4 separate regions of the Mus musculus genome follow, and all the other regions are reported to be linked to region 1. The links are microRNA targets in miRTarBase. Many come from high-throughput screens and were not tested one by one. Region 1 holds a microRNA gene; each other region holds the end of a gene's coding sequence.
What was found. Region 1 holds the annotated microRNA mmu-miR-297a-5p (AUGUAUGUGUGCAUGUGCAUGU, at 998-1,019, shown strand). A microRNA usually pairs through its seed, bases 2 to 8, with sites in the 3' UTR of a target mRNA and lowers its output. Matches are read on the target gene's strand: a 7mer-m8 pairs with bases 2 to 8, a 7mer-A1 pairs with bases 2 to 7 and ends in A, and an 8mer does both.

Region 2: miRTarBase lists Larp4b as a target of mmu-miR-297a-5p. Seed matches in the 3' UTR shown: 7mer-m8 at 2,225-2,231.
Region 3: miRTarBase lists Amigo1 as a target of mmu-miR-297a-5p. Seed matches in the 3' UTR shown: 7mer-A1 at 1,964-1,970.
Region 4: miRTarBase lists Clk1 as a target of mmu-miR-297a-5p. The part of its 3' UTR that is shown has no 7-base or 8-base seed match.

The regions. Positions count from the first base shown.
Region 1 is chr7:10,956,330-10,959,495 of GRCm38, reverse strand. Mir297-1 (microRNA 297-1) reads left to right here and starts at 984; the gene lies at 984-1,059.
Region 2 is chr13:9,170,590-9,173,755 of GRCm38, reverse strand. It overlaps Larp4b (La ribonucleoprotein domain family, member 4B), which reads right to left. Exons shown (of 18, transcript NM_172585.3): 18 at 1-3,104. The coding sequence ends at 2,814. Among named protein-coding and RNA genes, the nearest start is that of Larp4b, 78 kb to the right of the region's middle.
Region 3 is chr3:108,188,191-108,191,356 of GRCm38, reverse strand. It overlaps Amigo1 (adhesion molecule with Ig like domain 1), which reads right to left. Exons shown (of 2, transcript NM_146137.3): 2 at 1-3,166. The coding sequence ends at 2,692. Among named protein-coding and RNA genes, the nearest start is that of Amigo1, 3.5 kb to the right of the region's middle.
Region 4 is chr1:58,409,687-58,412,852 of GRCm38, reverse strand. It overlaps Clk1 (CDC-like kinase 1), which reads left to right. Exons shown (of 13, transcript NM_001042634.2): 12 at 116-206; 13 at 513-865. The coding sequence ends at 656. Among named protein-coding and RNA genes, the nearest start is that of Clk1, 13 kb to the left of the region's middle.

The DNA of each region.
Region 1 (3,166 bases):
ATAATATAAGATTACAGAGTCACGTTGCCCCACTTTCATGGATCTGAGTTTCTCCATGGAGAAGGAACAATTGGTTTCCTCTAGGAAGGCCCCCTGCAGCAAGAGCAAGCTAGAAAATCTGCTCCCCATGTTTTGTGCAGTCGTCTTTTTATGCAGACTTTGTCCCAGATGGCTCTTTCCACTTCCACGCTGGAAAGCTGGGTTTCTCTGCAATACTTGATAATGGATTATTTCACTGTCTTTGTGTTTTGCAATGTAGTTTTACAAGGTAGTTCTGGGTAGTCTAGAACTTACTAGATAGCTCATGCTGGCCTCGAGTTTTACAGTCTTTCTTCTGTCTTCAGCTGAGATATATACCACCATGCTACGAGGGCTTTAGTTTTAATCATGCAGACTTTTTCGCTTTGATATTAAATTTAAAAAAAAATCTACTACATATTTCCTGGTGGCTCAGTGGGTAAGAGCACTTGTTGCACAAGCTAGGGACTTGTGTCCAGCTTCCCAACACCCACATGAAAAAGTATGTGCTGCCCAATATCCCCAGTGCTATTGAACAGAAACAGAAGAACACTGGGGCCCCATTCTAAGTACAGTGAGAGATCCTGCCTGGGGAAAAAGCAGAGAATGATAGAGCAGGCCACTCAGTGTCCTTTCTGCTCTCTTCCTGTACATAAGCTCATGCATCTTTGTGTGTCATATATACTGTTGCACACCTCACAATTTAATCATTTTGGCTAAAGTGATTTTGTTTTTTGGTGGAGATCTCATGTAGGCCTGGATGAACCCCAAACTCCTGACCCTCCTACTTCAATTTCTCAAGTGCATGCATGTGCAAAAGCTAATTGATTTGTTTTTGAGAAAGGGTATCACTATGAAGCTGACTAGTCTGGAACTTGCTATGTAGAATTGCCTGGCCACAGTCTCACAGAGGTGGCATTAACAGCATGTCCCACCATGCCAGGCCCTAGAGCTAAATTTAAAGAATATGTATGTATGTATGTATGTGTGCATGTGCATGTGCATGTATGCATATTGCATGTATATATTATGCATACATGTATGTATTTGCTTGTGTTTGTATGTGTACTACAGCATGCAGGTGCTTCAAGATGATCAAGAGGATGTTGGTTTCTCTGAAGTAGAGTTAAAGATGGTTTTAGCCACCTGATGTCAGTACAGGATATGGAACCCAGGTGCTTCGAAGAGAGCAGCCAATGTTCTGAACCACAAAGCCATCCATCTCTCCAGTGCCCAGCTAAATTGTCAACGGGACTGCTTATGTTTCTTCCTTTGGGGCAGAATAAAGAGATGGACCTGACAAACCCTTTTAGCTACTGAATCAATTTAAGGTATTCACTCTAGTCAATTTGGAGGTTGTTCAGCATACATAATTATTTGTTTGAGACAGGGTCTACCCATGTAACTCTGGCTGGATGGGAATTCATTGTGTAAATTAGACTAATCTATATATTTTCTACAATCCTGCCATTAAGCTTGGAGCTCTAGGGTTTCTTGTGCCCTCTTCTGGCTAATGAGAGCACTGCATTTGTGTGTACAGATCCATACACAAGCTCCCACAGTATATGCATAATAAAAAATGAAATAAAATCTGGATCAGGAGAGATGACTCATTAGTTAAAGCATTGGCTGCTCTTCTAGAAGACCTTTGTTCAACTTACAGCACTCAAAGTAACTCACAATTATTTTTGACTCCAGTTTTAGGGGACACATGCTCTCTTCTATCCTCTACATGTGCCAGGCATGCAGGTGCTGAACAGACATACAAAAATGCAGGAAAACACCCATGTGCAATCAACCAATCTATTTTTAATTAAAAATTTTTGACAGGAGTGCTGATATACTCCTTTAATCCCAGTGTGGACACTATGCCCCTCCTTAGATTTGGGAACAAAACACCCATGGAAGGAGTTACAGAGACAAAGTTTGGAGCTGAGATGAAAGGATGGACAATGTAGAGACTGCCATATCCAGGGATCCACCCCATAATCAGCATCCAAACGCTGACACCATTGCATACACTAGCAAGATTTTATTGAAAGGACCCAGATGTAGCTGTCTCTTGTGAGACTATGCCGGGGCCTAGCAAACACAGAAGTGGATGCTCACAGTCAGCTAATGGATGGATCATAGGGCTCCCAATGGAGGAGCTAGAGAAAGTAGCCAAGGAGCTAAAGGGATCTGCAACCCTATAGGTGGAACAACATTATGAACTAACCAGTACCCCGGAGCTCTTGACTCTAGCTGCATATATATCAAAAGATGGCCTAGTCGGCCATCACTGGAAAGAGAGGCCCATTGGACTTGCAAACTTTATATGCCCCAGTACAGGGGAACACCAGGGCCAAAATGGGGGAGTGGGTGGGCAGGGGATTGGGGGTGGGTGGATATGGGGGACTTTTGGTATAGCATTGGAAATGTAAATGAGCTAAATACCTAATAAAAAATGGAAAAAAAAAAGAATCCAACTTGTCTTTGATGTCATAGATTGATATATGGCAGGGACTTGTCCCTTTATTATGCTCAGGTCTGAAGAGTAAAATCATGGCAAGCTCATATTAATGCAAACAACTTTATTCACTTTGACATATTTGTTGAGCCCACTCCTGTAAACACATGCGCACACATACATGCACAAACACACACACACACACACGCACACACACACACACACACACACACACACACACACACACACACAGAGAGAGAGAGAGAAAGAGAGAGAGAGAGAGGTCTTACTTTCTTTATTTAACAGAAGATTGTGAAAACAAAACTCAGGAAAAGAATATGTTGATACCTTTGTGTCTATTTTCACTTAACATGAATATCACTTGCCAATTTTCAAGGAGAATACTGTGTATGTATTCTTTGTAAGTTACAATTTGACTTGTAGAGAATTTGGATCATGTCTCTTTACTAGATTTTTTTTATAGGCCATGTATTTCCAGAGACAAATACTCCCTGATTAATAATTTGTGCAGGCTAGGATTATTTTATGTCAACTTGACATGTGCTAAAGTCATCTGAAAGGAGTGAATCTCAATTCAAAAAATGTCTGCAGAAGACATAATACCAGGCTATAAGGCATTTTTAAAAGTAGAGTTTGATGAAGAAAGTCCAGCCCATTGTGGGTGGTCCTATCCCTGGA
Region 2 (3,166 bases), not on the chromosome of region 1:
ATCTCTGATTCTATACCTTGAGATACTGAAAGGAATGAGTAAACGTAAATAGATTATGAAAGCCACATACCACACTTGCTGGATGTGACATAGCAAGAGTCTGCATGCACCCTCAACAGCTTCCTATTTTGATAACTTCCTTTTTTTTCTGAGTGGAAAACCTCAAAGTGTTCAGGAAGTCTCTGTTTTGACATTATACAGCTATTTGGCATATCACCTTTGCTTCCTGAAAAACGAGTGCTTATAAAAATCACATCTGAGCAAGGCTTTAGTTCCTGATGCCAGGCTGTCACTGGCTAAGCAGTAATCAGTGTCCCACCTCGTGCATCTGCCCACCTGCCCTTGCGTGTGGCCACTGAGCTGTACACTTCCAGCCAGCAGACAGCAAGCACCTACAGCTTGGCTCTGCCACACAGGTTTCGTGCTGCAATGCTCAGCCTTGGGGAAAGGACTTCTCATTAAAAATCAAAGCTCCTCTGTGAGAGCACCCTTGGGGGTAAGGGGTGCTGACCATAATTTGGCCCCTCTTCCAGCAAAGATGTGATGTGAAGGGCCTGAGGCCTCAGGCTCGCCTTTCCAGATAGACAGTATCTGCTAGTGTGGGTTCAAGAGGCCAGCTGTTTTCTTCTTCTTCTTTCTTTCTTTCTTTTTTTTTTTTTTTTTTTTTGTCAGTGATCTGACATCTATAAGGAAATTCGTCCTATGTTCCTTTCACAGGCGTCTGAAACATCAGCACTGCGTATACTCCTATGTAACTGAATGACAGTTGCTCTGAAGGAAATGGTCACGTGCATCAGGCCATCTTTGCCTCTGGCAGGAAAAATCACTTAACAGAGTATAATTTTAATTAGCACATTCTGTTTTTTACTTTCATTGGAAGATCCTGCCAGTCTCTGCTCTCTATACTCTCCTTCAAAACCCTCACATATCACATATGATTAGTATGTACTTACATTCTTTTTAAGAGTATGAAAACATCCAAAGGCTTTCAATAAGACTTTCCATTTCCCTTTTGCAGCAAAGAGGCAAAATCAGTTCAACACACCAGTATAAGGGGAAAAAGAAAAACCTTAACAAATTAAAATAATACTCAAACCACAACATTTAGTTTATCTACATCAGCTCAACAGCAACATTTATAATATATCAATAATTTTTATCAGATTCTTCTCTGTAGGGTACCTTTCTCATATGTTCTGATTATTTACACTGTACAAGCAGAGCACACTCCCAAGTGCACAGATTTAACACAGTAGCGACTATTTGCATTTACAGGACTTTTCAACAATCTGAAAAAAGATCAACTGTTGAAGATCTGTAGGTATGTTACAAAAACCACTGGAGTTCTTGTACAACAGTATGCGTTCTCAGCAAAACCAACACCAGGAGATCCGCATGGCAACTGAGTAACCGATCCACTCCCGCCAACCCAGGGGCAGGTCTCCGTGAGCTCTAAGCTGTCTTATACAAAAGTTAAGGCAAAGTCATTTTCAAGTTTAAATAAAATTCAAGTCTTTAAATATTGGATGGAAATAATTTTTTTCCTTAGAAAAAAAAAAAGAAAAAAGAAACCAAAACAACCTTCAGTCTCATTAAATAGCATTTTGTGGAATAAGCTGTATGGTTACATATAGCAGGAAATAGTTTAATGTCTGCTGCTTAGAATACTTAAAGAAAAATCTTAGGCGTTTTAAAACAAAATAATTTATCTGTAACTTTATTATGAACTTGCTAACTTGACTGCACTCTCGCTCCTCAGAAGTGCAGCTTCTGAAACAATCAAGAAAACCCTCGTCCTGGAGGTAAAAGAGCAAGGACTCTGTCCTCGCAAGCCAGAGGGGACCACCGACAGCACTCTCTCACGGCTAGGTACTTCTAAATCCACGTGCTGATGCAGAGGGACAAGAAGACATCCACACAGAGCTGGCTAAGACACGACTCTCCAGAGTGTGGGGGACACAGAGAGAGCATGGAGGATGAGAGCCAGGTAGCCACTCACTCACAGGGACACACATCGTGTACAACTTCTGACATCAGTGGGCAGCAGCAGTTTCTAATTCCATCTAGGTTCTATTCACAATGTGCTTTGAATTTATTTTACATAGTAGCCACTTGGAACTGGAGTGAGAGGCTGGTTACTTGCTCGCAGGACATCAAAACTCAAAGGTTTCAGGTCTTTCTAGGGTGCTCTTTGCAGGTTCTGCCCACTAGATCAAAAAAGAACTGTATGTACATCTGTATCTTGTTTTAAAGCTAGAGTTACCTGTTGCTAAGGGTTTAGATGAAAACACAGCTCCTATGCCAGTCTGTCAGTGTCCTGACATGCCAGTCCCTTGCTCTGTGAGGCCAAGGCTGCCCCTGCCCCTGCCATCAGCCCCCATCCATCTGCTGGACACCCTACCAATGCGCACTTGTAGACCAACTATTAAAAAAAAAAAAAAAGGAAGTAGCAGAGTTCCCTTAATTTAGAAAAACTCATTATAGCTTTGCACTCAGAGCCACGTGGAGGCTTAATAAAAAATATCCATTTGTTAGGATAAATACATTTTCTATCCTGAAAACACCAGACTTCTGTATCACCTCCAGTTAAGCACCAACCTAAAATAAGGTTTATATTATATAATTAAATCCTGAAAAATACATTTTTTTTTCCAAGAGGGGGAATATCCGACTCACAGAAGGAAGTAACTTGCAGGTATCCCACGGGCCCCACAGACACTGCAAGCTCCTAACCAGCGGCTCATTCCGTACTGAGTGGGAGAGCTTCTCACGGTGGGTACAGCTCTTCCAGAGCCCTCGCAGGCACGCAGCTCTCACTGAGGAGACTTGGGAGGCGTGTTCTGTTCCTTGCTCAGGCGTTTCCCGGCAGCTGGAGGAGAGGCTCGGCGCCCAGGCTGCCTCCTCTGATCCTTGGGGACTCCAGGCGTGGACTTAAGGGCAGGGGGCTCTCGGTGTCTCTCGACAGGCTCAGACAGCTGCTTCTCCTCCTTCCCACAGGCGACAGTGCTTGGCTTTTGTTCTTTTGGGGGTTGCAATGGAGAGGAGGAAGAAGGGTCTTTACTCGTTCTCTGACAAATCTCTGCATAACTGGGCTTTCTCAATTCCTGGAAACATAGAATATGGGGTTATGTATACAAAATATCAGGGATGGAAGCTCTTTCAGGGA
Region 3 (3,166 bases), not on the chromosome of region 1:
ACACACATACACCCCACCTACACCTACAAGGACAAAGCTACCATTGGGTTATAAGAACTGAAATCAAGGTGAGACCAATCAGTTAAATGGTTTTTGGTGGAGCATCCAGACATGTCCTGCAGGTGTCTTGAACTGGGGTCCAAGTTAGTGGATGTAGTAGGGAGAGTTAGGCTGTGGAGCAGGACTTAAAAAGAAAATGACCCTCCTGGTCCTTGGGAGCTCAGCTAGAATGCTCCAGAAGGCAAACTTCATTTGACCTCCATTTTAAAGAGTCTCACAGCCCGCGATGGTGTCAGGAGAGGATTCTGCCACCTAAAAGATTTTCTCATTCCCTGAGGAGTTTGAGGGTGGAGGTCTGGTTCTTCAACCTCTGGTGACAAAGTCCCCAGAAGTCTTTGGAATACAACTGGTTCCTCTCCAACCCTTGTCTATTAGGACACAGGAAGAACAACTCAGAGCTGCTTAGCCTCTGCCAGGATCCTTTGGAGTCCTCATTACTCTGGCCCTAGCCCCCTGTCTTACAAGAATGTAGGTTTTTAGGAGGGTTTCAGAGGAGTCTGATGAACTAGCTAGTACCTCACCCCCCTTCTCCCAAAGGCTCCAGCGTGTGGTCCCCCTAACTCCACATCTGCAGAAAAGTGGTTCAGCTCCATGGAGATATGGGCAAAAAAGTTCAGGATGTTCAGAAATTAAAAGTACAAGAGATTGTGCATTTGAGGAGCCTGGCATGGTCACTGTCTCTCCTGCAGTGCAAGAAAACTGTGTGTGAGAAGTTGTGCGCTGGGGGTGGAGGCCGTTCTAGAAATGGTGGCATCAGAGAGGGCCGCAGACTCACTGTCCTGGTGGAGGTCAAGGTGCTGGCGTGCATGCATACCTATGAGCATGCATACCTATGAGCATGCAACTACTTAAGGGGAATCGCTGCACCTCTCTCTTGACAAAACTAGGTTACTAATAAAGGATGGACAGCAGCCTTGAGATCCCAGGAGCAGACGGGACAATGTTTACTTTCGTTTCTCTTCCCCAGTCCTTATAAGCAGCCTGACAGGCCCTCCTAACACTAGGCAGCCCTCACCCATAGGTAAACAACACCCCTTAAGAATCCCAAAAGCAGGTCAGGAAACTGGAGGACCTGGATGACTTCCAACCACAGGAAACAAGGGAAAGAAAAGACACCGGAAAAGACCAACACGGGAACACATTCGCCTCTGCCCTGCCCACCCCTCTTCCAAAGCTCAGAACAGCTGCCTCTGGGGCCTGCAGTATGCTCACAGGATGCAGGGCACAGTCATATCTGTACCCAAAACATTTTGCGAGCCTGGATGGAAGCTAAGGCTGGGTTTGTTTTTAAGTGCCTCTGCTCTGACAGCTACAACTGCCCTGATGTCCGACTGACTTTTCAAAGTGTAGTGCCCCTTCTGCCTCTGTAACAAGACTACCTGCCTTCCAGTCTGGTGGGGGAGCACAGAACTCTAAGCCACACTCTGTATCGCCATTCTGGGACAGAGACCACTAGGTTCCAACCCTTCAGATGACAAAACCCCCACACTCTGCAGGAGTGAGGCAGCCTTGTTAGCACAGAGAAGATAAATGTGAGGTCCTGTGTATCTCCAGACCTATTCTAACAGAGCAGGACTGGGCTTTTCCGACTTCTCCTTTGCAGAGCAGCCTTCTATAGAAGGTACAGAACCCCACCTGAGCTGATTAGAAGGTTGACAGAAGGGATGGCATACATGGAAAATCAGGTAGGTCTGGCTGGCTGCTACATCAAAGAGGCTGGTTTCCCCATTCTTCTAGCAAGTGTGGCAGCCCTTGTGCCACAGTGGTGGCAGCCATCACAATGCTCTTTCCTCAGTATCCCTGACTCTTGTCCTGACAGACAGACACTGGAAGTCAAATACTAATTAAAGCTTTCCCCCAGCCAGGGAATTAGCCTACCTGGAATTTATGCCCTATCTACAAGTTGTATGCTATGACAGGGACCTATTAATTCATTCTGTACCCATCTGTGCCACCTGCCCCAGGACAAGGCACAGACACAGTGTCCTACATTGCTGCCATAACTAACAGTCGAGAGGCCAGGCTCCTGCAGAGATCCACCCACTCAGGACTCCCAGGGAAAGAAGACGGCTCTAGTGAGAAGTCTCCCAGCAGCTTTAGGGAGTGTTATTGATCCAGGTCTCAGCCTTTTCCTGACTCATTTCCCAAAGGTTTCCAGTTCTCTAGCTATCAATGTGACTTCCCGACCAGAGAAGACACTGCAGCTTCCCAGCATGGCTCCTGTGGAGGCTCCCCCAAACACACACAACCTCACAGGTGTGGGTGGGCAGAGACAGAAAAAAAAAACATTGTTTTTCAAATGGTTTTCTCTTAAGGAGCTAGGGATGACCTCAAAAAAGTTTAGGGAATTTGCTCCTCCCCTCCGCCCTTTCCTCGTTCCTGTCCCCCTCCCCCACACTGAGAATAGCCAAGGCTTTGGGTAGGGGTGTGGCATCTGCCTGAGGATATCCATAGGTGAAACTCGCAGCATCCACACCCTCACTGGGGTCTTGCCTCCTCCGGCGCCTGTGACCGATTCCCTGGTGGTCAGGAGGAACCCACTCCCTTGGGCATCCAGCCCTCTCTTCCACCCTGTCATATCCCTCAGGGGTACCTCTCCTGGGGCAGAACCTCCCCATCAGCCTACGCTGCTCACACCACAATGGGTGTATCAGAAAAGACCGAGCTGACCGACTCTGGATCGGACATCCTCCGTTGGCCCTTGCCTGTAGCTTCGGGCACCGGCAGAGTGTTGCCTGGCTTGAGTTTGCCATTTTGACCCTGCCCGGGTCCAGCAGGTTCCAGGAAGGCCACCCGCCGGTCAAAACCATCATCTTTGTCCCCACCAGCCATAGGGTCGTGGTTGGGTGTGGTACTGAGCATAGAAGAGCTGAGGCTATCTCCTTGGTGGCTGGAAGGTTTCTCCACACCCCGACACCAGCAGCGGCAAGGGGTGAGGTACAAGTATATGAGGACCAGAACCACACTGAGGATACAGCCCACCAGGGTAGTGTAGGCTGTGTTGAGGGTGTCATGGTGTCCGTGCAAGGTGAAGTTATACACTTTCAACTCCACAGACAGTGTCTCGTTGAAAGTCTCCCCCATGGCGTAACAGGTATACACACCC
Region 4 (3,166 bases), not on the chromosome of region 1:
CTCTAACTTTCTAGAAAAAGATTAGATAGTCTAATATCCTAATACAAATCTTTACCTTTGCTATTTTGACTTTGGGGAAGTCAGCATGGTAAATGTGAACATTTAACTGTTTTAGGAAACGCAGATATTTCCATCATGATCGATTAGATTGGGATGAACACAGTTCTGCTGGCAGATATGTTTCTCGGCGCTGTAAACCTCTGAAGGTAGGCCTTGGATACTCTTTAACCAGGACATGCATGCTACCACTTTTGGGCTATAGAGAATCCTGATTGTTACAGTCTGCTGACCTTCACCCTCTGAAGGTCTCTGTTTCTGGTTTTGAATTGCTTTTTGAGATGGGGTCTTGTTCAGGGACATAAAAATATGTAGTCCAGGATGGCCTCAGAAATTTTCATCGACCTCCAAAAGAGAGGCCTGGTAACCTGGCATCCCATGATTGTAAATGGTTCCTTCTGTTTTTATGTTAGAAGAAAGTGCAGCAGTAAGAAATGTTTGTCTTTCTGTTTCAGGAGTTTATGCTATCTCAGGATGCCGAACATGAGCTTCTCTTTGACCTCATTGGGAAAATGTTGGAGTATGATCCCGCCAAAAGAATTACTCTCAAAGAAGCCCTAAAGCATCCTTTCTTTTACCCACTTAAAAAGCATACGTGATTTATAAACACAGTGCTCTGAAAGGAATCTTACAGACTGTATCAGTCTAGCTTTTAATTAAGTTATTTTGTATAGCTTAATTTGTAAAACATTTTATGTTTTTTAGATGCTTTATTAAATACATGGCCAAACCAAATAACATCTTTCAGTAATTATAGAATGATTTATTTGGAATAAAATTTGTGCTTATGAATGTATAAAGGTCTATAGCTTGGTGTACGGTCTTTCTACAGTAAGTCTGAAGATAGCTCTGCCTTTGTATGTACGTGGGCATTTTCACCTACATGTATGCCTGCCCCACATATTTGCAGGCCAGAAAAGGGTGCTGGAAATCAAACTTGGGCCCTCTAGAGAACAGCAGCCAGTTCTCTTCTCCAGACCCAACTTTGTTTACATTTTTAGGAGATTTTTTAGTGAGTATTGGGGCATCCTTTCTCTAAGTTAAAAGATTTTATTTTCCTTTTATTCTTGCTCAAGTTTAGTACTGCTGTTTTCTGGTCTGTATGGTGGTGTGTTCTCCTTGTTAACTCTTACTCTTCAGGCTAAGAAATGAACTCTAAAGTCTTTGTAGCCATCGTGAGGCAGATGTTCGGGTACCCTTGTTCATGTATCTGTACACCTGCATGTGCAAGTGCCTGTGGAGGCTGAGGTAACCTAGTCTGCCTCAATGGCCCTCTGCTTACACATGCAGATGGGGTATGCGAATCCTGTGCTTTATCAGGACTTCACCAAGCCTCAATTCCATGGACTTTATTTATTATTTAATTTTGGTGTTTCTTTTAAAAATTGAGCAGGCCTCAGTGACATTTGCTGATAGGTTGGATAACCCGAGTTTGAGCTCTGGAAGCAAACAGTGTCAGGAAAGAGCCAGCTCTGGGGTGGTTCTTTAACTTCTACATGGGCACATACACAGGATACTTTTTTAAATGAGTTGAAAATGCCTAGAGAGGCTTTAAGAATTGCAGGTCACTTTACAAATCCTCTTGCTGCCCAGAGGATTCCAACTCCAAGTGGAGACCCTAAAGGTAAAACTACTTAAGTAATAAAACCTTGCCGTGGGGCTGGGGAAGTGTACACATGCACACGAGAGAATGAGATGCTCAGTGCCTGTTAAAAGCTCCAAAGGCAGGAGCTTGAGTGGAGCTGAAAACGGCAAACTTCGAAGAGTCTGTCTCCAATCAGTTTGATTCTGGGCCATGCCTGAGAGCACAGGGAAGACACGGCACACGCTGCATAGATGGCCCTGAGTACAGCGTGTCCAGCTGAAACACTAGCATTTTTAGATTGATTCTACAGTCATTTCACAGTTGATTCACTCTAAAGACAGAAATCATGCTGGGTGCTGGTGATGCAGGAGAGCCTGGTCTACAGAGTTAAGGGCAGCCAGGGCTACACAGAGAAAAAAGGTAGAAAATAGGAACTATAGGAATAGGCAATTGACTGTCCAGTTGCTATTCTTTTTCCCCCCTAGGCATAGCATTGTGTGTTCCCATAATCATACTGCATAGCATTCAGTGATATTGTTCATGTCTTTAGTTGGTAGCTTTTCTCAAGTGGTAATCATTTATTTAGTCGTTTTCCTTTCCTTTTGTTGATCCCAGGGATTAAGCAAGTGCTCTACTGCTGAGTCACCCTTGTAGCTTAGTTATTTTCTGTTACAATAATTCAGTATTAAATAGAGGTAGTCTTTTATAAAAGTCAACTGTGAAGGCTTAGTATGCTGGCACATACATGTAATCCCAGTACTCAGAAGATGGAAGCTGGAGGATCATGGGTTCTAGGCCATCCTGGATCACTTAAAAAGCAAAACGATCCTGTCTCAAGGCAGTAAGGTGGAGCTCTACAGACCAAGACAACCCCAGCCTGCTCTGACCTCCGCATGGTGTGCATACACACAAATCATACAAAACACCAAAACCCCAGTTTCCTGGGCATAGACGTGTTTGGAAATCATTGTTATGGTTGAACAGGATCATGACAAATAAAAAAACAGCTTGACTGGAGTTGAGTTCCTAGTATCCAACATGATTTCAGTTGCTGAAAACTCGATGTTGAAGTACACTTAACCCTCAAGAATCTTGTTTAAACTGCCTTTGGGGAAAATAAAGTCACACTTGAGAGGCTGGAAAGGTGGCTGTGCCCCGTCCAGCAGGACTTATTTACTCTGAAGAGAAAGGGAAGTGAGACCCTGTTTCCAGAAACCCAGCAAGGGCAGGGTGTGGTGGAGCTCGCCTTTAATCCCAGCACTTGGGAGGCAGAGGCAGGTTGATTTGAGTTCAAGGCCAGCCTGGTCTACAGAATGAGTTCCAGGACAGCCAGGGCTACACAGAGAAACTCTGTCTTGAAAAAACAAAACAAAAAACCCCAAAAACCCAGCAAGAAGGCTCAGTTAAATATGCTTGTCACCAAGCCTAATGCTCTGAGTCCAGTCCTCAGAACCGATATGGTAGAGACCTGACACACGCAATCTGGCCTGTGAGTGGGCACAAAAAAAGTGTACAAGCACAATG